Regions from separate parts of the Mus musculus genome. Here region 2 is reported to be linked to region 1. The links are microRNA targets in miRTarBase. Many come from high-throughput screens and were not tested one by one. Region 1 holds a microRNA gene; the other region holds the end of a gene's coding sequence.

What was found. The annotated mature microRNA mmu-miR-684 reads AGUUUUCCCUUCAAGUCAA and lies in region 1 at 10,699-10,717, opposite strand. An mRNA with a match to its seed (bases 2 to 7 or 8) in the 3' UTR can be bound and repressed. Matches are read on the target gene's strand: a 7mer-m8 pairs with bases 2 to 8, a 7mer-A1 pairs with bases 2 to 7 and ends in A, and an 8mer does both.
Region 2: the mRNA of Kcnk3 is a reported target of mmu-miR-684. Seed matches in the 3' UTR shown: 8mer at 9,894-9,901.

What each region holds. Positions count from the first base shown.
Region 1 is chr2:80,618,016-80,634,435 of GRCm38, forward strand. Mir684-1 (microRNA 684-1) reads right to left here and starts at 10,775; the gene lies at 10,690-10,775. Dusp19 (dual specificity phosphatase 19) reads left to right here. Exons shown (of 4, transcript NM_024438.4): 2 at 3,179-3,225; 3 at 6,193-6,345; 4 at 12,777-13,646. The coding sequence ends at 13,016. It also overlaps the pseudogene Gm13690.
Region 2 is chr5:30,617,417-30,633,836 of GRCm38, reverse strand. Kcnk3 (potassium channel, subfamily K, member 3) reads right to left here. Exons shown (of 2, transcript NM_010608.2): 2 at 8,567-11,946. The coding sequence ends at 11,000. Among named protein-coding and RNA genes, the nearest start is that of Mir5625, 22 kb to the left of the region's middle.

The sequences.
Region 1 (16,420 bases):
TTGGGTGTTAAACACAGGGCTTCTGCTTCATAGCTATGAACCCGATGGTCTTATTTCTTGTGCTATGGAAATACTGAGTTCGTATACAAGCATCGCCCACAGATAACAAAAGAAACAAGCTTGTAAGAGAACTCACTTGTTACCTTGTTGATCTGGGATGGTGTTCTGTAGAAACCAGCCTGTTCCATAAGTCTGCATTGGTGTGCATTTATGAATGAGAAATTAACACTTGGACACAGAACCAGGAGTTAGACACACCCACAATATGAACTATACACAGCATATAATTGTTTTAAAGATCTTCAAATAGGGATTATCTTTATATTACAAACAGGAATTGGCATTAATATTGGTTAAGTAATTTGCACAGGCAATAGATTCAGTAAATAGCAGAGATGTCCAAGGGGATTAGGTCTAAGTCTGACTGACTCTTGCACACCATCATAGTACTATGTTGTTTAAGGCTGGACTTACATTAGGTGTTCCAATTCATTTATCCTCTCAAAACTGCAAAAACCCATCTGCTTACATTATTTTTTAGTTTGTTTATTTTGTGTGCATGTGTGCATAAGTGTATGCGCGTGTAGTGTGTGTGTGCATGGCACTACACCTCCCCAGCTCCTGTCTGCTTTCACTGAAGGGACATCCTATAAGGTTGTTTTGGCATTGTGATTTTTTTTTTTCTTTTGGCAAAACTCAAGTCCCACCATGTATCCTAAGAACTGTCACATACATTTTCTCTAGATTGACTCAATGAATAGGACCAGATAAAATTTGCAGTTTAGAGAAAAGAAAAATACCATCTTCTAACCAATGAAAAGCAGAAAGTGAAGTGACTTTTGGCTGAGCTGGCTAGTTCAGATCTTATGTCTTCATCTAAGAATGAGATTATTTATATTCATACTTTGCAACCCCCCCAAGCGTTTTCTGACCTCCACAATTGATCACCAACTCTATCTCTGTCTGTCCTTTGTCTGTCTTTCTCTCTCCCTCTCACCCCCTCTTTGTCTTTCTCTCTCTTATGTACACAATAAACAGAAAAAAAAGTAAGTGAATAAATTAGCAAATACTTTTAAAAAAAAAGAATCTTAATTGGCTGCAATTAGAGCTGTCTCAGAAGCTGAGAGAGGATAGTAACTAGTTCAAGGCCTGCCTGGGCTCCAGAGTGAGGTCGGATTGAGCAACATAGTGAGAGTCAGTGATAGAGTACTTGCTTCAACGCCACAAGCACACCTAATACACAGCATTTATGTTTATATCAATATTGTCTTAATTTGGAAGTCACTTAGAAAGTAAAGCAACTATAGTCGACCTGACCTGTCTGCTTCAGATATGGAGAGAGAGAGAGACAGAGACAGAGACAGAGACAGAGACAGAGACAGGGACACAGAGAGAGAATTACCAAGGCAGTCAGTGTAGGGTGAAAAGGGAAATAATTTCATTTAAGTTATGTTACAATTTTTTATTATTTTAAAATAGAAACAGAATAGAATAATTAGTTTAAAGATATATTAACTACTAAACTAAAATTAATGTATCTGAACCTGTTTACCCATCCCAACACAGTTAAAACCGAGAATCACCTTTTTAGTCATGAAGTATTTCCAATTGATAAAAGTCACAGGATGGTGAGAGAACAGAGTTTCTGTACCCACCACACATATTTACCAAATGCTCATATTTTGGAAGTCCAGCTTCCAAGTAGACAGAAGCAGAACACACATTCTGCTGACCAGGTTTAGTAAGGAGCCTCTCAGCTTGGAATCACTGTGTGCTTGTGACCTCTTGGTTATCATGTGAGAGAAGCTGGCTGATTCCTAGATATGGAAGGGGATGGAAAAGAGCATTGTTTATGGAAATGGAGCCACAGAAAAGTAAAATTCTCGAAATCCTTTATTGCGAATGTCCTATTTGATCATTTGGGAAACCTGCTATACTCTGTCATTCATTCTTTGCTTTTTTTATTTGTTTGTTTGTTTGCTTTTTGTTTTTGTTTTTTGAGACAGGGTTTCTCTGTATAGCCCTGGCTGTCCTGGAACTCACTTTGTAGACCAGGCTGGCCTCGAACTCAGAAATCCACCTGCCTCTGCCTCCCAACCAAGTGCTGGGATTAAAGGCGTGCACCACCACCGCCCAGCTAATTGTTTGCTTATTAACTAGAGCCAGTCTCCAAATGTGGGAGAGTAGAGAACCATTTTCAATAGAAAGAGCCGGTGAAAGGCACAGCACTAGCGGCACACAGTGTGTGGGTGGGAGCCCATGAACCTCAAAGCTACTGAGTGTTCCCTCTCCTGCTGCCCTGAACTCTGTGGGTGTCTGATTTCCTTAATACCCTTTTTCTTTTTCTTTTATAAAAGAAAGGGCTATTTATTGTAACCCTGCGTTTAGTGTTTTGTTCGGTGTACTTTGTTATTCAGCAATACATATTTTTATTTTCTATTGTTTATTTCACAGCATGCCTGGAGCTTATGTGTGTATTACGGATCTAAACTCAGGTCCTGTGTTAGTAAAGTACTTTTCCCGCTGAGCCATTTCCCAAGCCCCTGAAGCAATTCTATTTCCTAATATATTGAGAACATGATCGCCATGTGTTACCTATTTTAATGTTTGTTTCCAGTGGTACATATTGCGGGACAGATCTCACTATGGTAATCTTTAAATTCTGAGCACCTCTGTTGGACTAGGAGTTGTTTTGCTTGCTGGTTTTGTTTTTATTTGTTATATGTTGAACATCCTGAGAGGTAATCACTGCAGCACCTATGACTTTAGTGTAAATTATTCAAAATGGGAAAGTCCATAGATTATAAAAGATAATTTTCCACGATGAATATTACCAAATTTCCCTTCCCAAAGCTGGTTTCTTCCCATAATCATTTTTACCCCCTCTGTTGTGATTTTTTTTTTTTTTTACATTTTTTTATTCACTTATTTTATTTATATGAGTACACTGTAGCTGTCTTCAGACACACCAGAAGAGGGCATCAGATCCTATTACAGATGGTTGTGAGCCACCATGTGGTTGCTGGGAATTGAACTCAGGACCGCTGGAAGAGCAGTCAGGGCTCTTAACCACTGAGCCGACTCTCTAGCCCACCTCTGTTGTGATTTTTAAGAGAATCATTACAGAAAGTTCCCATAACTGTACTTATGTTCAAGGTAATATGATTTATTTCCTCAGGGTCACAGGATGCTGCTCATGACCTGGAGCTACTGAGAAAGCATAAGGTAAATGAAGAAAATGGATATTTCAACTCTGGCATCACATACAGGAAGATGTCCATTCTTCTATGGGAAGGATTGTATCCCTCACTTTTGCATAATTTGGATTGATCTGTATCACTTGGGGTATCCTTTTAGTAGCATTGCTGAAATAATTGCATCTATTTTAAATATATAGGACTGTAATTCATCCTTTCAGTTTTGTGTTCTTCTCAGATTCCTTCATGCCCTCATGAACTGGACTCTGGCAGGGCTTATTTCTTGCCTCTGCTTTCCCTCATGTCAGATTTTCCCTCATGTCTGCTTGTCACAGATCTACCTATTCTCGCTCCTGGCTCATATTCCAGTCTCATGGACACTGCTTCTGACGACCTCGCTTCACACAGCCAATAGGATTTATTGCTCATTTTCAGTATTTCTTCAGAGTAATTTTTAGCTATTTGCTGTTGTCAACTCATGTTAAGTGGTTTGGGGTTCTTATGCACTGAGTGGACCCAAGAAGAAGCCAAAGGTGTACAGCCGGGCATTGTGTGGTTGAGTGCAGAGTGATGGTGCCTTTAACCCAGGTTTGTCTTATTTAGTTTGGGGCTTGGGGGCTCGGGAAATGCTTCTTGGAGGAGGTGATGCTTCAGTTTTGCTCTGAGAGGGGTTGAGAAAGGAACAGGCATCTTAGGACTCAGATGGAAGAGATGGGGTGTGTAGACACCCCAGAGCTAGAAAAGAAAAAGGCTGACATTTTCAGGGACAGAAACAGCTCAGAAAATGATGTGAGAGCGAAGATAATGAGTGAGAGAGGTAAGCGTAAAAAAAGAGTATGGAGGGCCATGTAAAACCAGTGCAAGTTGTCTGGAAGTGATCCAAAACATGGCAGAAATCCAATGAGAGGTTTTATCTAGGGAAATAGCAGGATTACATTGGCTTCCAAAAAAGATTTCTCATTAGAAGCCGCATGGGAAATAGACTGTGGGAAATGCTTGAGCTAGAGATGGAGAGGCCAACTGTGAAGTTATTTTAGTACTCTTAGAGAAGATGATAGTAGTGGATTTGAGATATGCTTAGATATCCAAATCCTTACAATTCAGTGATTGCTTAGTTATAGGGAGAAGGGGCTTCCTAGTTGGTTGCTGGACTGTTTAGGAAGGATTAGGAGTTGTGGCCTTGTTGGAGGAGGTGTCTCACTTTCAAAAGCCCATACCAGGCACAGTCTCATGCCATCTCTCAGTGTGGATCAGATGTGGGCTCTCAGCTACTGGTCTAGCACCATGACTGACTGGCTGCTGCCAAATCTCAAGCAAGCCCCCACTTAAACGGTTTCTTTTAGGAGTTGCCTTGGTCATGGTGTCTCTTCCCAGGGGTAGAACTGCAAGTAAGAGAAATTGGGTGGCACCAGGAAGGCGTTGAGTTAAGGCATTAACATTAAGGCCAATGTTAGAGAAGTAGAAGATTCTGGAAAGTCACTCGAGGAAAGTGTAGACGTAGTAGTATGGATCCAGGTGCACATACCAGGAAGGGCCTACAAAGTATGCAGGGATGTATCATTTATGGAAGTAAGGCAGAAAGAAAGCGTATAGGTAAGGCAGTGAGACCTGATGGGAAGATGTAAAGGTTGCCATGACACTTTCAGAGGAGATCATCTCCTCTAAAAGGAGCAAACAAGGCAGCAAGAGACTGGTAGGGCAGCTTGTGTGAGCTGACTTCTCTGAGAGCATTCATCTCACTGAGACTTCATAACTGGCAACTGTGATAAAGGTGGGAAGAGCATTTCGGCTGAGAGAAGAGCTGTGGACAACTACCACCTCTCCTCCCCACACACACTGGTGTGGGCTGAGACAAGTGGTACACTGGGTAAAGACCTTACTCATCGTATGTTTGTCACCCACAGCTCTGAGGGAAACAGCAACTGATCGAATGGAGGATAAAAAATGTGACGTGTTAATTATTTGCAGTTATTTCCCGAAGGAAAATATCTAATGATCAGTTCATTAGCTAGTCTGATACCTGTGCCTGTCAATTTACAGACCTGTGTTTAATTTAGCTTCTCTTTGATTTATTACGCTTATTAGCACGATAATGAGAAATAACGACCCTTAATTGCGTAAACATGTGAGAATGCCTGGATCGCCTACCAGAATCCTTGCACACCAACAGTTCAACAAAACGAGAGAAAGTTTCAGCCTTCTTTCCACTAACTGATCAGTGCTGTTCAGGGTAATGAGGCAAATGGAATCTGAAAAACCTTTGCATTAGCAAGTTGTGGTTTTGTTTTGTTTTGTTTTTGTTTTCACTGCTCCTGTTTTAATGGCATACTTGTCCACATTCTGCTTCACTGTTGGGGTGGAAAAGAAGATCATCTCTATCGCACCCTGCTCGTTCTCCGCACAGTCACCCTCTTAGTCATGCCTAGGAAAAGCGAACTCCTCTTACTATCCTTACTATAAAGGGCATCCCAGCCCAAGGCCAGCATCAGTAAGCAGTTCTCTACCTGAGAAATATAGGGAGGCTTTATTGGGAAAAAAAGGCCTTTTAGGTTGGGTCCCTCATCATCTCTACTACCTGTGGTTCACTGCAATAAAACAAACCAACCAACCAACTGACCAAAAACCACCCCTTGTCACCAAAGTTTTTGTATGGCTATGAACTGAGGGTGTTTGTTTGTTTTGTTTTTTTTTCCCCCAGTAGATCTTTTAAGAACTTTCTGCTAAGGTCATTGTTCACTCAGTGCTTGTGATAGTAAGTTCACCCTGGTCTTCATTTTCATTGAGTTGGGTTACAACAAAAGGGCTGTACATGTATTATGAAGGAGCATTGCTGTTGAGGGATGAGGCAGAGGAAAGGGCACAAAGATGATGTATCATTCAGTGAGTCAAGTTATATTTCTGATTATTCTTATTATGGAAATTAACATTATAGTCTATTTTTAGATTATCTGATTCATAGAACTTAAAATTCATCTTTTTTTTTCTTTCCTTTAAGGTGACTCATATTCTCAATGTTGCATATGGAGTTGAAAATGCTTTCCTCAGTGAGTTTACATATAAGACCATTTCTATACTGGATGTGCCTGAAACCAATATCCTGTCTTATTTTCCAGAATGTTTTGAGTTTATTGAGCAAGCAAAACTGAAGGTGAGGTTTGTTTTGATACAGTTATTCAGAAGTAGAAATTCAAAAACATAGGACCACCGCCCAGTCTTTGTACATTTTGCAATGGATCTGTGAAGAGCCATTGTGAAAATTTCCCTCCAGCAATACTCACTAACTCCTTAAGGTTTTCATTCTCTAATTGGTTTTTTCTTTCTTAATGAGAGGTTTGCTTTTTATATTAATTTAGTTCTGTTCTGAGTTCTTACCAAGAAACACTAGGAGATAAACTCCCTCACTTAATGAATCTTTCTTTGCAAATATGTAGTTACATATCCTCGGAGGCTGTATTGGGACCTGCATTTTGACTGATTCATAAGAAACCAGATGGACCAAAGGGTACAGTCTGCTCTAGTCTTGTGAACGTATTCGTGACGATGAATATTCATTCATTTTCATGACTAAGGCACAGAGACTGTGTATCTGTGCATTTACATTTTTGTTGATATATTTATTGAGGCAGGGTCTCATGCAGCTTAGGCTAAGTTTCTGACTTGCTGGTGTAGCCAAGGATGATCTTGGACTTTTGATCCTCCTGCCTTTGCCATCCCAGTGCTGGAATTACAGCTGTGCATTACCATGCCTGTTTTTATGTTGCCCTGGGATGGAACTCAGGGCTTTGAGGCCAAGTAAGTACTGTACCAACTGAGCCATATCTCTGGCCCTCATGTGTTTGGAACCATAGAATTTTAAGGAAGAATAAAATTTTTTTGTGTGTGCTGAGATTATATGGAATCCTAATCAAGAATTGTCTGCTGGTTTTGTGACTTTAGAAGATCAGCATGGCATGGCGTATTATTTTAATCTTAATTTTTGATCTGCATCAACGTTCTGATAGGCAAGGCTTCTAGGATGGTTATTACCTAAAGTTGTTCCTTGAAATGATATTTTTTGTCAATATTTTTACATTTTTATTATAATTAAGTTTATAATTTTCAAAATCAATTCCTTTAATTATTATGTATAACTGAATGTATATACATCTTTAATACAGAATAATATCATAGAATTCATACTTACAGACTTGTTTATTGTTAGCAATATCACATCCACAGGCAAGATTGTAGGTGGGGTTTATATAATAATTTCCTCCCCAAAGAACTAATCAGGAGTTCCATGGTAACTCTGCTATTACCTTCCACGAAAGAGTGCATGCCTGTAGTGACAATTTTGGAATTTTGCTTTCTTTAAAAAACATAGAAATATAAGAATATATTTTCATTTTAGTCTCAGGCTGGGATATGGGACGGCTTCACAGCAGCTGACTATGATTTGCTTCATGCTCTAGCTGGGGTGTGATTTTGCCAGCTGCAGTTAGTTTCTCTAATTTTGTGACATTTGGGATTCTGGGGACTTTTCAGGGGGTATATAAAAGCTAGGGCCCTGAGAGGTGGTGTAGGTTGTTGATTGGTTGTTGTTGATTGTGGTTTGTTAGGTAGTCATGTGCGAAGAAGGAACCAGAAGTAGAAATTAGTTATCTTCACAAGGAAGATCAAACTTGCCCCAGGGAAATCAACATTCCTAATCAAGAGGAAGTAGTCTAAAGATAATGGCACCCCCTGACTTTATTCAGGGACCTCTTGCCTCTCCTCTCTATCCCTTTTTTCAACTCTATCTAGTGTTGGGAGGTTGAAAAGGCAGAAGAAAAGGGGTGGAGAAGGGTGGAAGGAAGAAGAACTCACACAATAGCAAAAGAACAGCTACACATCTACCAGCTCCTAACCTTGAGCATGAACCTGAGCTTTGAAACCATGAACCTCTAGGGAACATGCTCAAAACATATTCAAACTACAACACCATGTCTAGACAGTCATGAATGTCGTCAGAGTGACCTGTGCTGACAGATGCTTGCAGTCAGACTTCAGCATGATAATGAGGTAGGACCTGAGTCTTGCTTCACTGACTGACAGAGTGGACTATCCAAAAAGGATTGGAAATATTTCATTATTTAATTTAATTTAATTTATTTATTTATGTTAAAAGATTTATTTATTTTATTTATATGAGTACACTGTAGCGGTCTTCAGACACCCCAGAAGAGGGCACTGGATCCCATTACAGATGGTTGTGAGCCACCATGTGGTTGCTGGGATTTGAACTCAGGACCTCTGGGAGCACAGTCAGTGCTCTTACCCACTGAGCCATCTCTCCAGCCCTAATTTTATTTTTAATATAGCATTTTAAATTTAGTTTTTGAGAATTTCATGCATGGACACAATGTATTTTAATCATATTTCTCCCCTACTCTTTTCCCTCCAACTCCTCCAAGATCCTTCCACATCCCCCTCCCAGATTCATGTCCTTGTTTGTTTTTTCAATAACTCACTGAGTCTGATTAACTGTCCATATAAACATCAGCATGGGGCACCCATGGGCATAGGGCACCCACTGGAGCGTAGTTAACCTATACTTATAAAGAAAACTGACCCTTCCATTCCCTAATACCAGTCAACTTGTCAATAGCTCCTCAAGCAGGGTCAAGACTTGATGAGCCCGCGCCATCCCTGCTGGAGCGTTGACTGGCTTGGTCTTGTGCAGGTCTGGTGCAGGCACCATCAGCTGCAGTGGGTTAGTGAGTGCAGCATTCCTTCCGTGTTCAGAAGACACTGTTGCACCCAGCCTCGACTTCTGGCTCTGACAGTCTTTCTGCCCCCTCTTCCACAATGTTCCTGGAGCCTTCAGGGGAGGGGTTATCACATACGTGTTCCATTTACGGCTGAGCACTGCACAGTGGCTTATTTTTTTGCTTGTTGACTGGTCATGAGTGTCTGTATTACCAAGACCCTTCCCTGGATGAGGACTGAAAACTTGACAGTCAGTGTCTTTACCTACTGGATGGCTCATCTTCCCTTAGTGTGAACTTTTAGGGTAACAAGATTTCTTTACACAAGTGCACACTAAATTGATTTATTTACTTAGCAAACATTCACAGAATTCCTACTATATGCTAAGAATTGAACTTAGTGCTAGAGATTCAAAGATGGGTGAAACAGCCCTCCTCTCTCATCTCACCTGCAGAGGGCCAGTTTTCTTAGGACAAGAGCCAGGGTCGGCTGCCCGAAGAAGAGGTAAAGGTCTGTGAGACATAGCATAGCAGTAAGTGTAAAGGGAACTTTGCTTCAGTATTTTTAAGCTCTCAGAACAAGGAGTAAAATCCAACCATTCTTTTGCAAGTACCTTCAAGGACAGTTTACATAAAACTGGAAGGAAGGAATTTAAAAGCTATAGGAAGTAGTTATTGGGTCTGGAGGATTTGCCTAGCTGTTAAGAGCACTTGTTCCTACAGAGTACACAGCTTCAGTTCCCAGCACCCATTTGCTGTCTCACAACCATCTGTAACTCTAGTTTCAGAGAATCCAACACCTGACCTGAAGGTACTTCATACACAAGGTGCCCATGCATGCATGCATGCAGGCAATATACATAAAATAAATCCTAAAAAGAAAAGTGGTTATATAACGTAGTGAAAAGAAAATATTAATACTTTCAAATGAGTAAATTTGAGATCTGAAGATTTGTTTTGAACTGATACACACACACATATACATATATATATATATATATATACATATGTACATAGTAATTTTCAAGTTGTTGTAATATAATTTTTAAACATTTTAAGTCATAAAAAATTAGCTGTTGGTACAAAGTAAAAAAAAAAAAAAAAAGAGAAGAAGAAGAAGAAAAAGGTTGAGCTGGAGAACCGAGAAGCACTGGGTGAGTTCAGAACCACCCTGGGCTACTTAGGGAAAACGTGCCTTAAAATGAAAAGTTAAAAAAAAAAGGACTGGGGATAGAGTGCTTCCTAGTGTGTACAAAGCTGTAGATTTAGTTCTCAGTACTGCAAAAAGCAGAACACACACACATACACACAAACAAAAAAAGAAAAGGAGAGAGGGGGGGGGCTAGAGAGATGCCTCAGCAGTTAAGTGCTCGGAGTGAGTTCTCAGTACCTAGGCAGCTCACAACCCTCTCTAGTTCCAGAGCCCTCTTCTAGCTTCCATGTGCACTGCACCCATATGTGCATAAGCCCACTGTCTGTGAGTGTACACAGACACATATTGTTTTTAAAAATAAAAATAATTTTTTAAAAGTGAGAACATTTCTTGATGTATAGATGTATATAGTGAACATTATTTTCCTTTCTTTGTGCAGAAACAAAACAAGAAAATGAATCATAGTTATGTCTAAGAAAACACTTGAAGTATACTTGTTGATGTAAGAAATTTTAAAATACTGGTCATTTTGTTGCTAATCATTCTTTTTTTTTGTTTTTTTGTTTTTGTTTTTGTTTTTGTTTTCATTTTAAACAAGAAGTTTATTTAAACAGCAAGACGCTTGACTTGAAGGGAAAACTATCTAGGATCATTTTGTTCAAGAGTAATTTATCCCTACTTAAAGACAGATTGCCCTACATGTAACAGCTACGTACAAAAAAGTTATAAAATTGTCCTTGGTTTTACAATGATAAATGAAAAACATTAAAATTCTCCAATCGAACAAGGTATGCAAGGATTTGTTGTTGTTGGGTTCTTTTGTTAAAACAATGAGAGCAAAATAACTTACTGGAATATAAAGATAAGAGCTGAATGAGCATGCCACTAGTGGAGAAGGGGGTATTTTCACAAACCCAGTATTTTTCCCCAGACCACCTCCATCTCATGTCAACCAGAACAGAACATCGGTAATTTAGTTTAAAAAAGGAAAAGAAAGAGAGAGCACTATGCGTGTGCACATACACCAGTTACTTTATGTACAATAAAGAAATGGGGACAGGGAAATGAAAGAAGAGAGAAAACTATACTGTAGTAGTCAGGATGTGGTGGGACCAAATTGTGGCTTTCTAATTGAGAATGTATTCTTGGTCTATAACAAAATTCTGGAGTAAAGTAGCAGGCTCCCTTTTTAGTAGACACCTCCAGTCTGCTGCTGGAACACATCAATCGTATCTTCATCCTCCATTTCCAACTGTGCAGGTGTGTCTGTTTCGTTGATTGGCTGCCCATCAAACCGGAATCTGATCTGCCTCATTGACAAACCCTGCCGTTCACAATAGGCTTTCATTAGTTTACTAAGTGGTGTATGTCTCTTAATCTTAAACTGCACCACAGAACCATCCTGTCCCGCCACCTTCAAATTAATATGATCATTGTTCTCAGTCTTGACTCCTTCCTTGGGTTTCTCGTCGGCCATGGCGAGCGCCGGAGTCTCCTCAGCTGCCGCTTCACAAAAGAGGCACCGGGTCTGCACTGAGGGAGCGCACCGCTAATCATTCTTTAGAAGAGATACACTTGCAAGCTTGATAGAATGGGTTAAGAAAGAAATTGTACCACAGATACACAGATGTGAGGAAGCTGCCTTGAAAACCTAAAATAGCCAAGTGACCCATAACAACAGTAGTGTGTGCCCCGTGCTTGCGGGATAGGGGCTCCAGTAATTTGTTAATTCGTCCTGTCCCTTTTCTGTGGTAGCAAATGAAGAGTGGAGAAAGGAAGTTGCTGAAGGGGCTAATTCTGTGGTGTGTGTGCTCTGTTCACTATAGATCATTAACTTTTTAGAAGCCTGTACTAGGCCAGGCTGTATCAGTGCTGACCCATCAGATCTACTCCATTCATTATTAATACGCTATTGCCTCCATCAGTATCCACCCACACTGTTCATTTCTCTTGTAAAGTATCGTTTACAGGTCACCCGAGACGCTCTTCACTCACTGACCTCACTGCTGGTGTCCAGTTACCTTTTCCACTCCATGTTCTTATAAGCTGTCCAAGCCATCATTTACTGATGAGTTAAAAACATTTTTAATTTACTTCCTTACAGAATAATATTCCCCAGGGCAAAATGTTTTTCCCCTGCCAGTCATTTTGTATATAGATGTTCAAGCCAGTGACACCAGTTATTTATATGCATGGGAAGTTAGTAGGCTTTTATGTGTACTGGGCTGAATCACTTGAGTCCTGTAAAAAGTGCCATTTCAGAATTCCAACCACATTATCCGAGCATTTCAGTCTGGGCAAGAGCAGATATTTATTGGATGATTTTTTTTTTTTTTTTGCAATGCAATTTTTTTCCCTCATTTTTTTTTTTTTTTTTTGCAATGAAATGTATTCTGGTAAATACATAGACAAGTCATTTACTTTGTAGTTTTGAGTCTACTAAGAATGTGTAATTAGGGCTGGAGAGATGGCTCAGTGGTTAAGAGCACCGACTGCTCTTCCGAAGGTCCTGAGTTCAAATCCCAGCAATCACATGGTGGCTCACAACCCTCTGTAATGAGATCTGATGCCCTCTTCTGGTGCGTCTGACGACAGCTACAGTGTACTTAGATATAATAATAAATAAATCTTTAAAAAAAAAGAATGTGTAATTAAGCCTTCTCAGGTGTCTAATATGAACTTTGTTTGACGGCGTTTCAGGATGGCGTGGTTCTCGTGCACTGTAATGCAGGTGTTTCCAGGGCTGCTGCAATTGTCATTGGCTTCCTCATGAGTTCTGAAGAAGCCACTTTCACCACTGCCCTGTCGTTGGTGAAAGAGGCGAGACCATCCATATGTCCGAATCCTGGCTTCATGGAACAACTCCGCACCTACCAAGTAGGCAAGGAGAGCAATGGAGGTGACAAAGTGCCCGCGGAGGACACGACCGGTGGTCTGTGATCTGTACTCCAGCAGAGGCAAACGACTTCTGCATCAGACTCTGTCCTCTTGCCTGTGTTTTGGAAGGAAACTTGGAAAACTTCCCTTTTCTGTTGTCTTTTACCAGTGGAAATGAACGTTACCTTTGTCGCCCTGAATTAATACATTTTAAAGTTTTACCTTTTCCTTGTTATTTCAGTATCTAGTTAAGTGTTTCTTTGAGTTCTAAGAGAAAATAGTGTATTATCAAGTCAGTAAATCAGTGGTTTGTGTAGGAAAAAGTTTAAACCTAAAAACCTTTCTTAGAGTTAGAAAAACAAGCCATGAAGCCTTTTAACCCCTTCTTTTCTCATATGCTTTCTGACCTGAGAACCTTTGAAGTGATGAACTTACTAAGTGAAGACTTAGCATTTCAAAGGGAAGTCAAATTTTTGAGAATATTTTTAAGGTTAAAAATAATACCTGTACCTCCTCCCCTCTCCCCCCGCCAAGAGTACCAGAATCAAAAGGAATTTATATTCATTATATAAACATTTATATAATGATTATAAATTCATGTGATCGTTATATCCTCTTATAAAAACCTAATTTCCATTTTCACTTTTTTTTTATTTTGACTTTTACATTTGGTCCTATTACAAACATTTCTCTTATATGCTTCAAGTGATTGTGTAGATGCTGTGATTTTATGATTTTTTTAAAAATTAGGTGTTATCTCTTATACTTTGTGGGGTTTTTTTTTGAAACTTCAACTTTTTTTAATTAAATTGTTTTATTTATTTACATTCCAAATATTCCCCCCCGACCTGGGTTTCCCCCCACCCCCGCCAGAGTTGTTCACCCCATCTGCCCCTTTGCCTGAGAGGGTGCTCCCCCACCCACCCGCACACACATCAAGCTTTTTAACTAGGGTGCTAAGTGTTCTGTTTAGGGGTCACCTACCATGCTTTTGGAGTTTCCTTGGATCCCTAAAAACTGCATTATAGTGAGAGACGATTTTTAAAGATGGAATCTCAAGATTGATCTATTTTATTATTCTGCTGGAGAACATTTTTTAGGAAAACAAATATGAACCCATAGAAAGAAAGCTGTAAAGATTGTTGGGCTGCTTAACGTTATCCACATTGTTTCCTAGAGGAACACTTGAAAGAGGTTTCTTTTCCCTTTAAGGTTCCCATTCACCAAGTTGAACTATGTACATTATAAATTTGCTTCAAGGCTTTGAACTTGGGCCAGGGGATTGCAGATCCAGTGGCAGGGGATTGCAGATCCAGTGGCATGCTTAGTTTGCCAAAGGCCCTGACCTCCATCATCAGCAACACACACACTCGAATAAATCTTTTACAATTTTATGTAAGTACATACTGCAAATCTTAACTTTTTCTAGTTATGAGGGAATTCTTTCACGCCTTTTGAGTGACATTTGTGATAAGTGCTAGAAAGATAAGTGGGTGTTGACTGAAGGTGGGTGGGCTGTGGCAGATTTTTCAGAACTGAGTCGAGAGTATATGTAAAGGGCAAGGACTGGGGAGGAGCACTGAACGTTGGCGGCACGGAAGTTCCGAGATGTGGGAGCGGCGAGCTGGAGGCCATGAGATGCTGTCTGTGAGGGTGGACTGTTGGCATGTCAAGTGGGAGCTGGCAGAGTTTTGGGATGCTAGTCTTTTGGATTAGTGAGAAGATCGAGGGGTGGTAATCGGGAATTTGCTTAGAATGTTTTGTTGTTATTGCTTATTTTCACTTTTATTTTGTGTATATAGGCATTTTGCCTGCTTGTGTGCCTGTGCACCACGTGCATGCGGTATCCATGGGCCAGCAGAGGGTGCTGTATGGGACTGGGATTTCAGACAGCTGTGAGCTGCCATGTGGGTATGGAGAATTGAACCCAGATCCTCTGGAAGAACAGCCAGTGCTTTTAGCTGAACCATCTCTCCAGCTTAAAGAAATGGTAGTTCATTCATTTGAGACAGGGTCTAATGTTTAGCAGGTGGGCTCTGACTTGCTCTCATGGCCACCAAGCCTGGGTTAGCTGCTTGGTGCTGGGTTTCTTACATGCTAACTGAGCTGTATTCCCTAATCTTCAGAATATTCTTTTAAAGGTTCAGTCTGGTTGTATTGCCTAGAGTGAATTAGGAGGAAAAGCAAGACCAGCGAGGAGGTTAGGTCCAGGTTTGTAGTGGTGACGCTAGATTTAGTTGATACAGTAAAGATGGAAGGAAGTGGAAGCTAGAGAGAGGGCTCAGTGGTTAAGAGCACTCACTGCCCTGTCAGAGGACCAGAGTTTGGTTCCCAGCACAAGCATCAGGTAACACACAACAGTGTGTAATTGCAGCTCCTTTTCCAGGTTGTATGACCAGCCTTTGGCTGCTACAGGCACCAGCACACACACACACACACACACACACACACACACACCCCTACACATAATTGAAATAAAAATAAATCATATAAAAAGAAAACTTACAAGCCTTGACATTGAATTTTATTGAAAAGAGGAGTTTTCAAAAATCTCCCCAAGGTTTCCAGCTTCAATAACTAGAGAACGGGCAGTGCCCTTCTTTGGGATAAATATTCATTCCAAAGTTGACCCTTTATATTTGATTTGAGGTATCCTTGAGATAGCCAGGTCAAGTGAGTATGTCAAGAGACCAACTCAGTGGCACACTTGGGCATTGTTATGAACTGGCAGCAGGAATGGACAGCGTCACACAAGAAAAAGTTTAGAGTACAACTAAAGGTACTAAAACTGGGCCTTAGGAGTTAGATAGCTCAGCAGTCAAGAGCGCTGACTGCTTTTCCAAAGGTCCTGAGTTCAATTCCCAGCAACCACATGGTGCCTCACAACCATCTGCAATGTGATCTGATTCCCTCTTCTGGTGTGTCTGAAGACAACTACAGTATACTTACATACATTAAATAAATAAATAAATAAATAAATAAATAAATAAATAAATCTAAAAAACAAAAACAAAAACTGGGCTTTGGAAAACAGCCACATTTAAAGGCTGGATGGAGGGTGGGCCAAGAAAAGAGATATGGCCAGAGAGAGAAGAGAACATCCAAACACACTGTCTGAGGAACCAAGGAGGGCTTCAGAGTGCATGAGAAATAAGAGCAAATGATACTGAGGCTTTCCATGTGATAAACAAGTAATTGAAGATGTCTGGGCTCAGTGGCATGGAGGTTAAGTGACCTTGGAAAGATCAGTTTGGTGGAATAAGTGATGGGAGAAGCCAGACTGATGTTTTTGTTGCTATGTAGTTTGCTGAGTAATAAGGCAATAACATGCCTATTTTGGGGTGAATAAACCAGCGTATTACATATAAGGTTGACACTAAACTTTTCTATGATTCAGATGAGTAAACTAAATCCTGGAGTTACCAGTGTCCCTGATTAGTAACTGTTCAAAGTCCTCCGCAAACTAC
Region 2 (16,420 bases), not on the chromosome of region 1:
ACCAGGGAGTGGCTCATGTAGAAGGCAAATCAGTGTCCTTGGGGCTTAGGCCAGAGATGTGGCTCCATACTGCTGCCTACAGTAGCTTAAGGAGTTCTTAAATCACATTTTACTTATTTATTGTGCGTGTACAAGCATGCTTGTGCTGCAGCCTGTGTGTTGAAGTCAGAAGACAATCTTTATAGTTGGTTCTCTCCTTCTTCTGTGCAGGTACAGGGGATGGGACACAGATCTTCAGGCTTAACGGTCAGAAGTTCCTAACCTATGAGCCATCCGTCTGGGCCCTGCTTGCTTGCTTGCTTGCTTGCTTGCTTCCTCTCTCTCTCTCTCTCTCTCTCTCTCTCTCTCTCTTTCTTTCTTTCTTTCTTTCTTTCTTTCTTTCTTTCCTTATTGACAGGGTTTCTCTTTGTAGCCTTGGCTGCCCTGAAACTCCCTCTGCAAACCAGGCTGGCTTCAAACTCAAGAGATCTGCCTGCCTCTGCCTCCCAAATGTTGGGACTAAAGGCGTGTGCCACCACTGTCCAGTGAAACCAGGATCCTTGACTTTGCCTCAGAAAAAAATTTCAGGATGAGCCAGTATGCATCAGAGAAAGAGTTTATTAAGAAAAGATTTTTAACGGAGATGTAAGCACAGGGGTTCCTCGGAGACTCACCTAAGAGAATGACTGACACTCACAGGCAATAGAGTGGCACCTTAGGGGGTCTTAATAATAGCCATATATATCGTTTTGAGAGCTGTCAAGTTAGCTCTGGCAGGGTTGTTAAACGCCCCCTCCCTTTTCTAGTGAATGAGATCACACTGTGGTTCCTCAGGTGCCTAGAATAGGATTACCCTCTGATAAGGTAAAAGTATGGGTCACAAGGGCTGCACAAGGAATCCTTGTGACATTTTCAGGGAATTGCGGTTTGCTGCTGGGAAGGGAGACAGGCCATACTCAAAGGTTCTATATACTTAGGAGGTAAGCAGGGCTCATGGCTATGTTTTAAAACATTCTCATTTGAAATAGCTCCCTATAAAAAGAACATTGTTTCTGTGTAGGCCACCTTCACAGTAAGTGTTAGTTGTGATGGGATTCTCTTTGAAAATGTTGACAAATTTATTCTGTATGTGTATGTAAGTGCAAGGGCATGCATGCTACACAGCACACATGTGGAGGTCAGAGGACAACTCGTGGGAGTCAGGTTTTCTTTTTTTTTTTTTTTTTTGTCACCTTGTGGGATGCCAGAATCAAACTCAGGTTATCAGGCCCTCTAAGCTTTCTCACCAGCGCTGTGCCAGAACTCTTGACCAGCAGCTGAGAGGCTTTAATCAGACTTAGAGGTGAGGGGCTCCTTTCCCTGCCCGTGTCCCCTTAGTTTCTACTGCCTTTCTATTATGCCTCAGAGCTATACAGCCTTGGGCAGGAGACCTGGTTCTGATATTTACTGGTTAGGTGACCTTGGGGAAGGGAGGTAACCTTGTTCCATCATCCCCTTTGAATATAGCTGGTCATGTTCCCTCCTGCAGGGGAGAAAGGAGGCTTCCTCCCCATCCATGGCCCAGCTTTCACAAGCACTTCCTGAATACAGCTTCCCACACTTCCTAGACTCACAGACATCAAGTTTCCTGGGGTAGTTTCAACCTTGAGTGCTCCAAGAAAGGTCCTTTGACCTACTCAAGGATGGACAAGTTGCTTCTGCAAGCAGCTGAGTCCAGATGGGGTGGGGACTGAGCAGCCCAGCTTATTAATGATGTTCTTTCTCTTCTTCCTTCCTCCCTCCCTTCCTTCCTCCCTCCCTCCCTCCCTCCCTCCCTCCCTTCGTTCATCCCTCCCTCCCTCCTCCCTCTTTCTTTCTTTCTTTCTTTCTTTCTTTCTTTCTTTCTTTCTTTCTTTCTTTCTTTCTTTCTTTCTTTCTTTCTTTCTTTCTTCCTTCCTTCCTTCCTTCCTTCCTTCCTTCCTTCCTTCCTTTCTTTCTTTCCTTCTTTCCTTCTTTCCTTTTTTCTGAGTCAGGTCTTATGTTGCCAAGGCTGGCCCCAAATTTTCTAGGTTGCTGAGGGTGACTTTGTGATGTTAAACTCCTGGTCATCCTGTCTCTACCCTCCAAGTGCTAGGTTACAGGTGTGTGCCCGTCACACTTGGATTATGGTGTGCTGGGGATCAAATGGGGTTTTGTGCATGCTCAGTGAACACTTTACTAATGCCTGCTATTTCAGCCTGCTATTATCAGGAAGTTCAAGTCCCCAGCCCAGGTCGTGACATCCCAGGGTCTAAGGAGTGGCGAACGAACGTCGCTGGAACCCCTGCCTCCTGCCAGCTTCGATTAAACAGACTGTTTTAGAGAATACATAAAAGGAAGAGGTGAGGAGCTGGGGCAGCAACAGCTCACAAAGAACATGCTGGAATAAATGTCATCTGGAATTAAGAGCCTGCTATCTGGTCCTGTCCTCTTTGATATTTTCATCAAAGGCTTGAATAATGGCCCCGAAGGCTAGATTATCAAATCAGGGGGAGATGTGGAGCTGGGAGACAGGAGGAATCAATGTGTGTGGCAGGACCAGTCTCTGACCCTGGAACATTACAGAGAGGCAGGGATGCCAGCATAGTCGAACTGGACCATCTCAGACTGACATAAAAATGGAGCCATAGCTCAAGCCCAGAAGAGGCCTGCTCCAGAGGATGTGTAGCACACCCCAATATTTTCTCTTACCCCCAAATCTTCCACCAGAACACACTGCCAAGGACAAAAAGGTGCTCTCTGTTCTCCTCAGACCGGATGACTAGCAAGGTGGAAGGTGGAGAAGGAGGGTGCCTGCAGTTGTAGGTAGAAACTTGGGCATGAAACCCAGTCACATGGGGCAGCGGGACTCACTCAAATACCCCAAAGAAGGAGAGGACATCTCTTGTCTGGGGGTTACCCTTGATGAAGGGCTTGCTGCTTTTTTGTTCCTGTGATGGAGGGACAGGACAGGGGCAGAACTGGCAGGGTCTCATGGGGCACTGTTTGGCATGGTCAGCATGCTTGAGTGTCCTGTGTGTTGACTGGATGATGGAAGATAGCAGAGGGCTGGTTTGGGGACAAGAGGAGGCTACAGGGCTCTCAAGGGGCAAGCATTGTGGAAAAATCAGCTTGCCTTTCTGTGTAAAGGGCTGGGAGAGGCTCCTGAGAGGACTCTGGACCCCAGTGGGTGCCAGCACCTGCGTCCTGGCCTCAGAGAGGGTTCTACTGTCTCTTTTGTCGTTCTTCCCAGCTGACTGTGGAACAGCCAGAAATAGAAGGAGGGGGCGGAGGAGAACGCATCGCTTCCATGTCTAAGTTCCTTACCCGAGCCTGAGGCTTGGTCTGTCCTGGGAGCAGGGAAAATACCAGTGCTCAGTGGATTTGATGGAAGTTTCCAACTGAGCTAGACTGGATGAGGGACCTCTCTACACCAAAGAAAAACACAAATCTTTGTGACTGGCCCTCTATGTCCTTCAAAAGACAGGAACAAGAGGTACAAACCAGGCTAGTGTTAAGCCCTGAAGGGAAGATGAACAAACCACCTAGCAGCCCTGTTTCTTCCTCCTTGTGGTCCTCCAGGCATAGACTGTGCAGTATCCTATTACAGAAGGGCCATGGGGTTTTCAATAGTAGCACAATGCATTTGGGTCCATCACCTTCCATTTCCCATGACAGGAGCTCCTCTAGTTAGGGATCCTGGTATTTCTCAGTAGCCCAGCAAAGCCCTTTGCTTTTTTCTCCCTACCATCGACATTGAATCTAGTGTTTCCCTAAAGGTCACAAGATGGCTGCCACAGTTCTGAAGGGTACACAGATCTGTCTAGTCAAAGTATAGGGCATATTTCTATTCCTCTGATGCCTTCTTATAGGAAAAAGGCCTTTCCCAGTAGTCCCACTGAAGCCATCCCTGAAGAGCCCCAAACTGAGACAGGACCTAATGTTGAGGTCACTGGGATCAGCTGAATCCCTGCAGGGGCCTGGGTTCAGGGAAGGAGGAGCCTCTGAGAGATGTCAGCAGTCTGTCATCAGGCAGAAGGTTGCAGAAATGGCTCTTGCTTCGGTAGTCCACTGAGTCTGCCACAATGACCCTCATGATGAGCTCTTGGTGGGCCGTGAAGTCAGTGGAGGCAGCATCTGAATGTTTGCCTTGTGTTCCTAATGGGAATGGCTTTCAAAGCAGAAGAGGGGATGAGTGTCTGTGTGGCACAGCAAGCTCCTGGGTAGGAGAAACAAGAAAGCTGTCCTTGAGAAAGGGGTCAGGCTGATGGGGGCATCCAGGTGTATACTTACAGGAAAGGGAAAGAAACAACTGGGTATTTGACCCAAGAAAGCCTGGAGGTTCCTGTCCCTGTGGAGAGCCACTTTGACTTGTTTGGATGAAAGCATCTGCTGTCCAGTGACAGCCTCAAAACACAGCTGTTGTCTCAGTGGAAGGAAGACATGATGGTCCTTAGAGTTAACACATAGTGGGAGATGGAGTCACTCAGAGCATGGGGTCCTGTGGGCTGGGCTGTTCAGCAGATTCTTGCTTGGGAAGGGCTAAGCAGCAAGGTTGTGGTTCATGGGAGGGCTGAGCTCAGTCCCAGGTCCTAGAAGGCACATCCTCTTCCATCTTTGAGAAGGGCCAGAAGACATCTTTACACAGGGCCCCCAGCAGGTAAATGCCTAAAGCTTTGTTGTTCCTCAAATTAAGGCAAGGCAGAACTCTTCACTTAAAGAGTGGGTAAAGCCCAGAGCGAGGCCAGAGGGCCTGGCAGACTCTCTACCCTGGGACAGTTCTGCTCTCCAGGGTTGGATCCTCACAGTCTATTGGCCCAAAGTCTCTCAGCCCTGATGTTGGAGAGTTCAAATCTCAGGACTTCTGGGACTTCAGTCTGATCCCGGAATGAGATCACAGCATTCCATGACTGTGTATGGCCTGTGTACAGGTACCCTATTCCTGGGAGCAAGAACTGTGGTAGATGAAGACGTGTAGAGGTGGCCAATGAATGTAGGGTCAGAGGTGTGATTTTTGTTCCCTCCTGCTGAGGGCAGAGATTGTTGGCTGGACATTTCACGGACAGGGTGAAGTACGTGAAGAGTCCCTTACACTCTGTCCCTATTTGCCAATGAATTCTTGGAACTGTGTCCACCTGGATCCTCCTTAAGCTTGGGACCTTGTCCAGCCACCAGAAAGCTGTAAACAACAGGGCACTGGCTGTCTCAGATCCCTTAGGACCTGACTGCTGTTCTGGCCCAGCACAGCAGCCACTAAGGAGACACTTTAGGCTCTGCTCAGTGCCTCTGATACTGAGTTCTGTGACCTTGGTCACAAGGCAAGACCTTTATCTTTCTGATGAGGGTGTCAATTCTTGCCTAACTTACAGTGTTGTCCTTGTGGTCAAATGCTGTTGATGTAGACTCTCCAGGTGTGTGCATCACTGACTAGAGGGGATCAAAGAGACCAGTACCATCAGAATCCCATCTATGAGTCCTCTATGCAGCTGGGAGACAAGGGGATGTGAGTCTTCTAGTTTGTCCAGATGTGATGTAAATTTCCAGCATAAAAGTGACTCAACTCCAGGATTAGAACTTTCCTCCAAAGTCAGAGCAGAGGGGCCAGGGTTCTGAGCTTGTGCATGCTCTTGTGTGCATGTGTGCATGTGAGTCTATGTGTCTGAATATGTGTGTGTGAATTACACACTCTTGTGTGTATGTGCATGAGAGTCTGTGTGTCTGAATATGTATGTGTGTGTGTGTGTGTGTGTGTGTGTGTGTGTGTGTGTGTGTGTGTGTGAATTGGGTGTGTACATGTTGACAAGCCAGGTTCTGTGGCTACTAACCCTGGCTGTGCCAGTATCTTGTTTCATGAGCTTGGATCTATCATTTCTTTTCTGTGAATCCAGTTCCTTTTCTCTGAAAGGTGGGCGCTGGTCCTCCGATCTGGGCACCTGCTTCACATACGTCTATTTCTCGATGTCCTTTGGCAAGGGTGGGGGGAGAAGCTGGAGGGCAGTTGCTTCAGCCACAGGGGGACACTGAGTCCACCCAAGGCTGGGCTTGTTAGGCTGTGGAGGAGAGGGAGCCTTGGTCTCATACTCTTCAATGGCCAGACCTTTTCTAATGACAGTGACCACTGCCAGGCAGTGAGCAATATGATGAGTGAGGGCACGAGCTTCATCCACCAACATTAGCCCTGGTTCCATGTTCAGCTTTGCTATCAACTCCCTGCCTGCTGTTAGACCAGTGGGCTGGCTGCTCTGAACCTTTTTTTTTTTTGGTACATAATGAGCTTTGCTAGTGTGTATTTCATGTTGTTAGAGCTGCCAGTTACAGATGACTTACCAATTATTAAAGTTTATATTTACCTGTTTGTTTATTAATTCATTCATTTATTGAGAACTTTATGTAACCCAGGATGACCTTGAACTTGCTATGTAGCCCAGGATGACCTTGAACTTCTGATCCTTCTACCTTTATCTCCCAAGTGCTGGGATTATAGGCATGTGACGCCTTTAGGCAGTGCTAGAGATCAAGCATTGGCTTTGTGCATGCTAGGCAAGTACTCTACCAACTGAGCTACATCCACAGACCCTAGTTGGGGATAAGAGGGAAGGATAAGACCTACTTCCCTATCAGTGATATTGTGACAGCCGAGGAGGTCCCCAAGTGTGCCCTGGGAAGTCTGGGAAGTATCAGGCCAACAGAGGATCTGGTATGGAATGAGTTTGAGTGTTACTCAAAACGAGCAGTGGTTTCGCTGCAGGTCTTCTAAAAACTTTTACTAAGCTTAGAGTTTTGTGGAGTTCAGACAGTGGTGATGTGTGCATCCTTCTTCCAAATTCATTAGAGCAAGGACTACCCTTCTCTTCCTTCTTGGTGTTTTGAGACAGGCTATATGCAGGCTGGCCTCAAACTCATGCCAATCTCCCTGCCTTAGCCTTCTGAATTGGAGATTGCAGGCATGAGTCACCAAGCCCAACTTAGCACCTCCCCTATGAGCGGCCACTGGCTTGCTTAGAGAGGAGCTGCCATTGCATCCCTCTTTTCTCTTGGCTCCCAGGAAGCTTATTCCCATTGACTCTCACCCAAATCCCAGTGCTGGTGGGAACTTCAGACATTTGCTCCCGTTCCCTCTCCTCTGCAGGCTTTCAACGTCCATTTTCCTGTGTCTTTCAGTTCAGGCAGCCTCAGAGGTGAGGAGGTTGGGGGCATGTGGGGGGGGCACTGACAGTGTCTGGACACGAAGATCCTGTGTTAGTGCTGAGCTCTGGGTAGCTCTGGGTGGGACTGGGGTGCAGGCCCCCTCTAGGAATCCCTGCAACATCTGTTTGTGATACTTTGTCCAGGGCGATGTTGAAAGTAGGGCAAGAGCCATGTTTGTGTCCCGCAAAGCACTGCTTAGGAAAGTCCAAGTGACCATGTGCTGGACACCACTGACCTCCAGAAGGACTCACCTCTGCTGACGCTGTATCTCATAGAGCTGAGCAGCAAACCTTTGGGCTTTGATTAAGACGAAGTAGTCTTAGGAGTGGATGAGCCAGGTTTTTACTGTGCCCAAACAGAGGCCAGTAGATTACCAAGAAACATGCCATAGAACCTGCCTGCTGTTACTTCAAGGGATGCCTAGAGATTCATCCCAGGGAGGCTGGTGTGTCCTGGAAAGGGCACAGGTTTTCTTTGAACCCAGAACCTCTCCACAAATATGTCCTATCTCTCTAGTTGGTCTAAGTAGATAGAAGGAAAGATTAAGGGAATGTGTCTCTAGCCCAGGTCCTTGTTTCTCTAGCATGTCTTTATCTGTGAGTAAAGGGAATCAACCAAATAGGTCCCAGGTGGCATTTAAAACAAGGAATAGAACGGATATGCACACCCTGAATGTGGTAGGGTGGTTGTGAGTCATGGCGTGCAGACAGATTTTGGTGCCAAAGGTATTACTATGGTTCATGCTTAGGGAAGCCTGGATACCCTTGGCTAGTTGAGTCAGGTGTTGGTACCAACTGGGCACAGTGCATCTGCTTTCTATATATCTGTCTTGGGCTCTAGGGTCCATCCCCAAGCATGTGCTACTCTAGACCATGAGTAGCACACCCTAAGAAAAGGTATTTGTGATGTGCCCATCTTTGAAAGTGATATTAGTGTGTGTGTGTGTGTTGTGTCCATCAGGCTACTGGGGTCAGGGAGGAGCTGAGGTCACCCCTGGAGGCTGGGGCATGTCCTGTTTGACTCTGCAGTCAGCTGAGGAGACAAAGTGGGGAGTCACCAGCTTTGCTTCTTATCCTACCTAGGTTGCCATTCATGGCTGTGTGACTCAGGGCAAGTTACTTGCCCTCGTTGGCCTCGTTTACTTGTGTACAGAGGGAGGAAAGGGCCCAGTCATTTCTAAGGTCCTGTTCTCACAGTCTGTTCCAGGAAGACGGAATCTTCTGAGCTCTGGATCTTTTGAGAAAATCCTAAGTGAAGCCAGGCTTCACTCCCAGGTTTCTACACAAGAAACCTGCACCCAAAGCAGTCTGAGAAGCCCCAGGGGAACGCACTAGGTGAGTGGTGGGACAGGGTGACAGGGTGACAGGGTGAATGACTAATGACAGAGGAGCGGGAACCAGAGCCTGGTCTCCATGGACAGCATTTATTAGGCGCCATTCTCAGTGTGAAGACAGATGGGCAGGAGCTGCTGAAAAGGGGGCCAGGGCAGCCACAGCCTGGGGACTTAGGGGCTGCCCGGGTGGGTGTGGGGATGTCACCCACACATATTGCATATTCTGTGGCAGTGTGCCCAGGCATAAGGCATTGGGGAAGCAGAAAGGCTGCCTGCATGGGAGGGGGTGAGACAGGAAGTGACAGTGGCCTTCTAGTTCCCTAGGCAAAGACCCTACAGGAGACCAGCAGTCCCCCATGCTTAGACCCTAGGGCCACTCTGCTGCCTTCCCCACCCTCTCTGTAACTTTGGTTGTGGCTCCCTCGGATCTGACGGGACTTGACCCCTCGAGGGCAGGGTCACACACAGGACAGAGGCAGCCAGCACTGCCTCCAGCCCAACATAAACACAGACAGCACCTCTCCAGCTGCTGGGTTCCATTCCCCCTTGACACAGGGGCCAGCTCCTCCACACGGACATGGGATACACACAGGCCAGATTCCTTCCACCTAAGGATTTCCCAGGACCTGGAGGACATGGTGGGGCTCTCTCTCTACCTCCCCAAATGGTCACATTGGCCTTACTCAGCAGTATGGAGCTAGGCCTGGGAACAGTGAGCAGAAGGCAGCTCTGCAGGGGAAAGGTTTCCCTTTTCATGGTACTGGGAATAAAACTTGGGGCTATACCCATAGCCCCACACATACCCTTCTGTTGTCCTGGTTTCCACCTCCAGCTTGTCCCCAGTAGCAAGCCACCCTCCACTGGGTTGCAGGTAGAGGAGGTAGAAGGCATAGCAGGCCCAATACCTCCTTCCCTCCAGAGGGGTGTTCCTGGCTGCAGTGGAAGTTACTCTAGCAACTTAGGATGCATTTATCCTGGCTTCTAGGCCAGGGAAAACGTCCCAGGATATACCTGTCAGCTGTCTGGGCTGCTCTGCCCAGTCCCTGAACTCTCAAGAGTGCCAACTGCTGGCTTGTAGTCCATGAGACTCAGTCCTTCTTACCTTGGTCCCAAGGACTTCCCTGCTTGTGAACAGAGACAAGGGTCCATTTAGAGCCTCAGTCTCTGGGCTAAAGAGTACCAGAGGCAGAGCCCTGGCAGTGGCTCAGGCTGGGGCTTTTGATTCTGGTTTAAACCCCAGCTGCCTACACAAAGCTGGGGTGTTGCCTGCAGGGGCTTCGCTTCTGAGGGCAGGCTGAGCCTGAAGAAAGAGCACTTGGGCTGGGAACAAGCCGGCAGGCTGTTCCCCTTCAAGACACCCCGGGCAAGTAAAAAAAAAAATTTTTTTTTTTTTACCTGTTTTCCTCTTCTGAAAAATGGCCATAAGAACTGCCCAGGTGACTTAACTAGAGTGTTATTACACTCAAATGAATACGGAGGTGGCACAGGGTTTCTGGGACAAAAAAACAAAAAACAAAAAAACAAACAAACAAAAAAAAACAACCTATGGACGAGTGAATGAGCAGCTGCAGCCAGGGACAGCAAAGGGGAGTCCATGTTTTAGATTCCAAGGGCAGTCCTGAAGGCTGGAGTCTCTCAGGAGCCCCTGAGAATGTTCCCAGACTCCAGGTGGCTCACCTACAGATGTCCACCCCGCAGAGGTGGAAGCCACAGTTTCTGCACACACTCTGCTCTAACATCTGTGGCCTGCCCTTTTTTTTTCTTCTTCTTTTTTTTTTTTTTCTTTCTTTCTTTTTTATCTTGCCCTCTGGGGACTAGCTTTAGGGGCTGCTGGGGTTTCCTTTTTTTTTTTTTTCTTCCATAACTGCATAGCCATGCAAAAAACAGAAGGGAGTGGACACGTAAGGTAGTGGAAGGCTGGGAGACATGGCTGGGGATGAAAGCCAGGTGGGACTGAGTGGGGGTGACCTGGACAAAAACACCTTGGGCTTTGGAGAACCCAGAGGAGGTGTAAGTAGAAGAGAGAGAGAGAAGGAGGGAGGGAGGGAGGGAGAGAGAGAGAGAGAGAGAGAGAGAGAGAGAGAGAGAGAGAACCAAACCAAAACAGAAAACAGAAAACAAAACCCGAGAACATTAGTTCCCTCCGGAGGTGAGGGGTCTGGGGCCCCCGTAGGGCCTCTGAGGACTGGGGGCTTCTCAGCAGCTCCCCGTGGCTGCTTTCCGGGCTCCCCACCCCCTAAGTTTCACATTTCTCGGAATTCTTCGGCTCCGATGGGGGCTCCAGGGGTCCTCAGAGCCCCGCCTCCTGCTGGCTAGTGATAGCCTGCACAGTTGGAGATTTAGGGGCTGGGGAAGAGTAGAGGTGGTGGTGGTGGTGATGGGCTGGGGACTTCCCATGGGGCCCGAAGGCGTCTTTGGGGGGCCTTCTGGCCAACTCCTGCGGCTTCTGCAGGCAGGTCCCCTACCCCTCTGGCTCACAGGTGCTCCAGGTCTGGCTGTGGTTCACACCGAGCTCCTGCGCTTCATGAGGCCGCGGAAGGCAGCCAGGCTGTGCAGGCCCGTGGACACCGAGCTGATGGCCGAGCGCTGCGTCCCGCTGCACAGGCAGGGGTGTGAGGGCGTGTCGCTGTAGCGGCCGCCGCCTCCCGGCGACGAGTGGCTGTGCTCCACGCAGGTGTCGGACGTGGAGAGGTCCCGCGGGATGATCATGGGGATGGAGTACTGCAGCTTCTCGCGGCTCTTGTACCAGAGGCACGAGCACATGGACTGGAAGTGCAGCACCTCGGCATAGACGTTGCGGAAGCCGCTGCCACCGACGCCCACGCCCACGCCTCCCGCGGCCGCAGCGCATGTGACTGGGTCGCGGGGACGCACGCCGTCGCCCAGGCTACCGCTCAGGCAGCTCAGGCCACCCAGGCCGACAGCCTGGCCGTTGTGCGTGAGCAGGGCGCGGTGCTCCGCATCACGCTTCTCGTCCTCGGCGTTCATGGTCATGAATCGCAGCACCACGAGGTTGAGGAAGGCGCCGATGACCGTGAGGCCCGTGAGGATGTACACGAAGCTGAAGGCCACATACTGCGGCTGCGTCTGCAGCGCCTGGTCCTTCTGCAGCGCCACATAGTCGCCGAAGCCGATGGTGGTGAGGGTGATGAAGCAGTAGTAATAGGCCTGGAAGAAAGTCCAGCGCTCGTAGTAGGAGAAGGCAGCTGCGCCGATGCACAGCGTGCTGATGCACGACACGAAACCGATGAGCACCATGTTGGCCATGGACACCTCGGCGTGCCGCATGCCCAGCCCCCTCTTGGCACGGTGCAGCAGGTACCTCACGAAGGTGTTGATGCGTTCACCCAGGCTCTGGAACATGACTAGTGTGAGCGGGATGCCCAGCAGCGCGTAGAACATGCAGAACACCTTGCCTCCGTCCGTGCTGGGCGCCGCATGACCATAGCCTGTAGAGATCCGGGGAGAAGAGAGAAAGCACAGGCTGTGGGGCTGGTCTGGCAGGGGTCCCTCCTCCTCTGCCCATCCCCTTCCCTCCCCACTTTGCAGGTTTTGGACTTGGCTTTTCCTCCATTTCCCCACTTCTTTCTTTGCTAGGGTTTAGATATGTAGCCATGGCTAGCCTGGATGTCTGAATTTGTAGACTAGGCTGGCTTTGAACTCACTACATTGCTCTTTCTGCCTCCACCTTCTAAGTCCTAGGGTAACCGGCTTGCACCACCATGTCTGACGCCTCCGGCCCTAGCTATTGAGTCTGCTTTTCCATACGTGGGCACACCCATGTCCAGCGCTTCGGGCTAACCTTTAGTTTGTAACACGAAGTACTGGGATGATGATTCCAGAAGGCTTAGACTTTTCCAGGTCACATTGCCTGGAAGTTTAGCAATCCGAGTTTGAACTTGAATCTGCTTTCTTGAAAACTTGAGTGTCTCATGCCTCTTGGGAGGAGCTGGCTCCTGGTTCTGCTGGAAGGCTTGTCAGTAGGCAGGAGATAATGTATGTGTGTGAATGTCAGGTAGTCAGTTGAGAGTTGGCTTTCTGTGTAATACCTGTGGGCTCTGCCATGCTCTCTGTCCTCTGTGGGCCTCAGTGCCCGTGACTATGAGGGCAGGTAATTGGATGGAATGGCTTGTGACATGATGATTCAGTGCGGAGGGACGGAAACTGAGGCACACAAGGCCTCTTGATGGTGTCTCTGCTGCAGCCAAAGCTTATTGGTGGTGGTGCGGTGACCACTGGCAGCTTGCAATTTCCCTGAGTGGTTGGCCTAGCAATGGCCCAACCTTATCCCTACAGCTGAATTAATAAGTGCTCGGGGGGATTCCACCTTGTCTAAGACTGGGGTCTTCTTAGGGATTTGGTTCAAAAGTAGACTCTGAGTGTGTGCCTGTGTGCGAATGTCTGTGTGTGTGCGCGCGCGCGCGTGCGTGCGTGCACCCATGTGTGCATATGTGTGTGAGCGCACGTGTGTGTATGTATGTGTGCATGAGGGTGCCTGTGCGCGTGCGCATGTGTGAGTATGCCCGTGTGTGTATGTGTGTGCACATACCCATGTGTGTGCATGCATATGTGTGCATGTGTGTGTGAGCACGTGTGCACGTGTGCACGAGTGTGTCATTATCCTGCTCCTCTTCTGCCTCCATCCTCCACATTTGTGCTTATACTCTTCCCATCTGGGAGCCAAGCAGAGTCAGACCTGCCCCTCTGCACATCAAGTGACTATCAAAGTTTCTGCCTTGAGCTGGGTAGAGTGGCGCATGCCTGTAACCGCAGCGTGTGGGAAACTGAGGCAGGAGAGAGTGAGAGTTGGAGAGATGGTCTGAGCTACAAACCCTTCTCAAAACAGAAACTGCAGCAAAATCTTCCTGGCGGTCTGGGGCGGTGAGGGACGGTGGGGGGCAGTGGGGGGTGGTGGGGGGTGAGGAGTCAGGAAGGGTCTTGGATGAGAACCAGAAGCTTTGGGCACAAGCTCTGGCCTTATCCCTAGTGGTGTTGTGACCTCGAACAAATGACTCTTTCTCTTTGATCGTGTCTACTTGAAAATGAAATCTGTTCTGGTCACGTGCTTCTCCCACTTAGACCAGTGAGCATAAACACTTCAGTTTTTATTAAGAGAATTATGAGAATGAAAGAATGTAGGCAGAATTTCCAAGTATCTTTTCTTTTCTGGGTCTTAGGAAATCTCAACCAAACACTGCTTCTTCCAGGTAGTCTTCCTGGATTCCTCCTAGCTGAAAGTTATTAGTGCTTTATTTGGGAAGTTCTGAGAAGGCTTATTTATGAACTCCAGGTCTCCCAACTACATAAAGCTAAACATTAACTTTGGGGGGGGGGAGCCCTGGCAAGCCTGTAATGGCCCCCTCTAACTTCTACCTTCAAAGGGAGTCCTAATATACACATCATGATTATATTACAGACCAGGATATTGTGAGCATTGCCTGATCTGAGTTCAAATTCTCCCATCTACATAAGACATTTTTGAGCCTTACTTTTTACATCTGTAAAATGGGGCTAATATATCATCTGCAGCAAGGGCTTTGGAGGAATAAATGAAATAATGTATTGATGCACTTAGCCTAGAGCCTGGTATATCTCAAATGCCCCACAATAGCACGCTGATTAATAATGAAGGAGGTGGCAGAACACTCTCACGTTTCCAAGAGATCGCCCAGCTTGGGAGTAACTGCATTCCAGTGGAGCCACCTCTGACAGCCTAGGGCCGGTCCTTAGGATTCTAAAGCTCAGAGAGGCCTGGAAACAGATGTTTGGGGCAGGGGTAAAGGCTTCAAGACTGTCCATAAAATGGCTTCCCTGCCCCACTGTGGCATCTATCCAGTGGTTGTGCCCCTTCTGCCAGGGGCTGTACAGTTGAGCCATGGTGCCTGGCTTCACTGCACCCCAATAGGGCGAGAACAGATTGTGCATACCAGCTGGGTCCCACAGCCATCCACAACTCACCTCGACAGCTGGGCATGCTACCAGCTAGCACAGTGTCTCATCCTGTCCTTTCCTGTCCCTCAGACCAGCACCACACAGTATATGGACCCCTGACTCCTCTCTGGATATGACACTAGGGGCAGAGCTCTACACAGAGGGCACAGCATGGTTATGGCTCCAGCTGTGTAACCCTGGGCAAATTGCTGTCTGTCTCTGGGCTCCTTTGCCTTGTCTGTACTTGGGGTCCAGGCCCATGACCTAAAGCTGTTATTCCATGCCCTAGCGCTTGTCCCGATCTTCCTCAGGAAGTAAAGGAGACAAATGGCTTGGGGAAGCTTTCTGGAATCTTTGGAGTATTCAACTGTGAGAGGCCCTTGGAAAATCATCTGAAAACACAGGTTCCTGTGTGCGTGTGCGTGTGTGGTGTGTGTGTGTGCATGTGTGTGTATGTGTAGCCATCTATAGCCACCCCGAAGAGGAAGGAACCCTTCCAAAGCACCTGTCTACCTCTCACCAGCTTGCTCTGGGTTCCATTAAAGAATAATGCCCTTCAGGAAAACCCAGTGCCCTCCTGCCTGGCTTCCTTTGCCTGGATAGGCTGCCTACAAAACAGCTCTCCTGCTCGGCCCTGCTGGCTGGGCCCTCAGGTGCTGCCCTGGCCCCTCACCTGACATCCAGAAGCCCCTTTACCTTCTCCGCAGGGTTTTCCCCCTCCTTCTGCTCCTGCTCAGCTCCCACCCCTGAGGGGGGCAGTGCTCAGCACCCACATTTAGCCACAAGTACACCCCCAACTTGGTAATTCTCAAATCGAGTGACTCATCCAGACCTGACCCAGGCCCCTACCAGGGCCAGAGACAGTGCTTGACCTTTGTGGGGCAGATGGCCAGACTGGCCCTCACTCCCTACCACAGCCAGGCTCACTAATCAAAACTTTTACCCTTAGAATAAACTTTTAACTTTGCCCTCATGAACATCCCCCGGTCACTCTTTGATTTGTGCCTGACTGTTTTGCGGCTGGAGTGGAGACGTCCTTTGAGTTGGCTATGGCCCCTAGGCATTTCTCACTCTGTATTCATGCCAGGGCCATGTCAGGAGGGGAAACTGAGGCCCAGAGAGAAGCGCATGAAGCCTCAGCTGCAGGCACTATCTTGAGCCAGCTGAGATATCAGTAGGACAGGGGAGCCGCCCTGGAGACAGACTTTTTTCATCTTGGGGCTGAGGGTGAGCGAGCCTATCCCTTTGTCTTACTGTCACTGGACGAAAGGGCAAAGAAGCCATGAGGACCTGCTGACGTGGGTGCCTAGCTTGGATGGCTGCCAGCTAGGGTGGAGTCCGTCCCAGGGGACCCGGGACTTCTGGGAAGTCACCGGGAGTTTGGCCAACCCTGTCCCCCTGCAGTGGGGCAGCAGTGTGCCTAGTTTGGCTTTGCAAGGGAAAAGGTAAAAAGAACTACCAATTGCTGCCTCTTCAAGTCTCTGGTTGGGGGCGGGGCTCTGCTAGTCCCTCTGGGTACCAGCGCACGCACGCAGGGGCTGCTCTCTGAGGCTGATTCTTTTTGGGTACCCTCTCCTAGTACCTGTTAGACCAAACAGCCAGAACTCCTATCTTGAGCATAGACTCTGGCGGCTGCCTCCCTGAACACTCACTAGGGCTGTCCCTTTCCATCTCCCATCCTGAATCCACCACGGGAAGACAGAGGTTCTTACTAATCATTTGGTCTAGTCTTGGGGTTTTACAGATAAGTCACTGAGGAGCAGAGAGGCTTGCTCAATGCCTAGAGGTGGTAACAACACGACAAGGTTAAAGCCAAGGATTTTAGATAATGAAACCAGTCCCCTGGCTGCTGCCTAACAGTTCAGGTGTGGCCAAAGCTCCACCTACTCATTCAGTCAGAGCTATCGACTCTTCATAGGAAGTGACTTAGATAGGAGATGGGTCTGGGCACAGAAGCCACCAGGACCAGCAAGATAGCTCACTGGGTAAAGG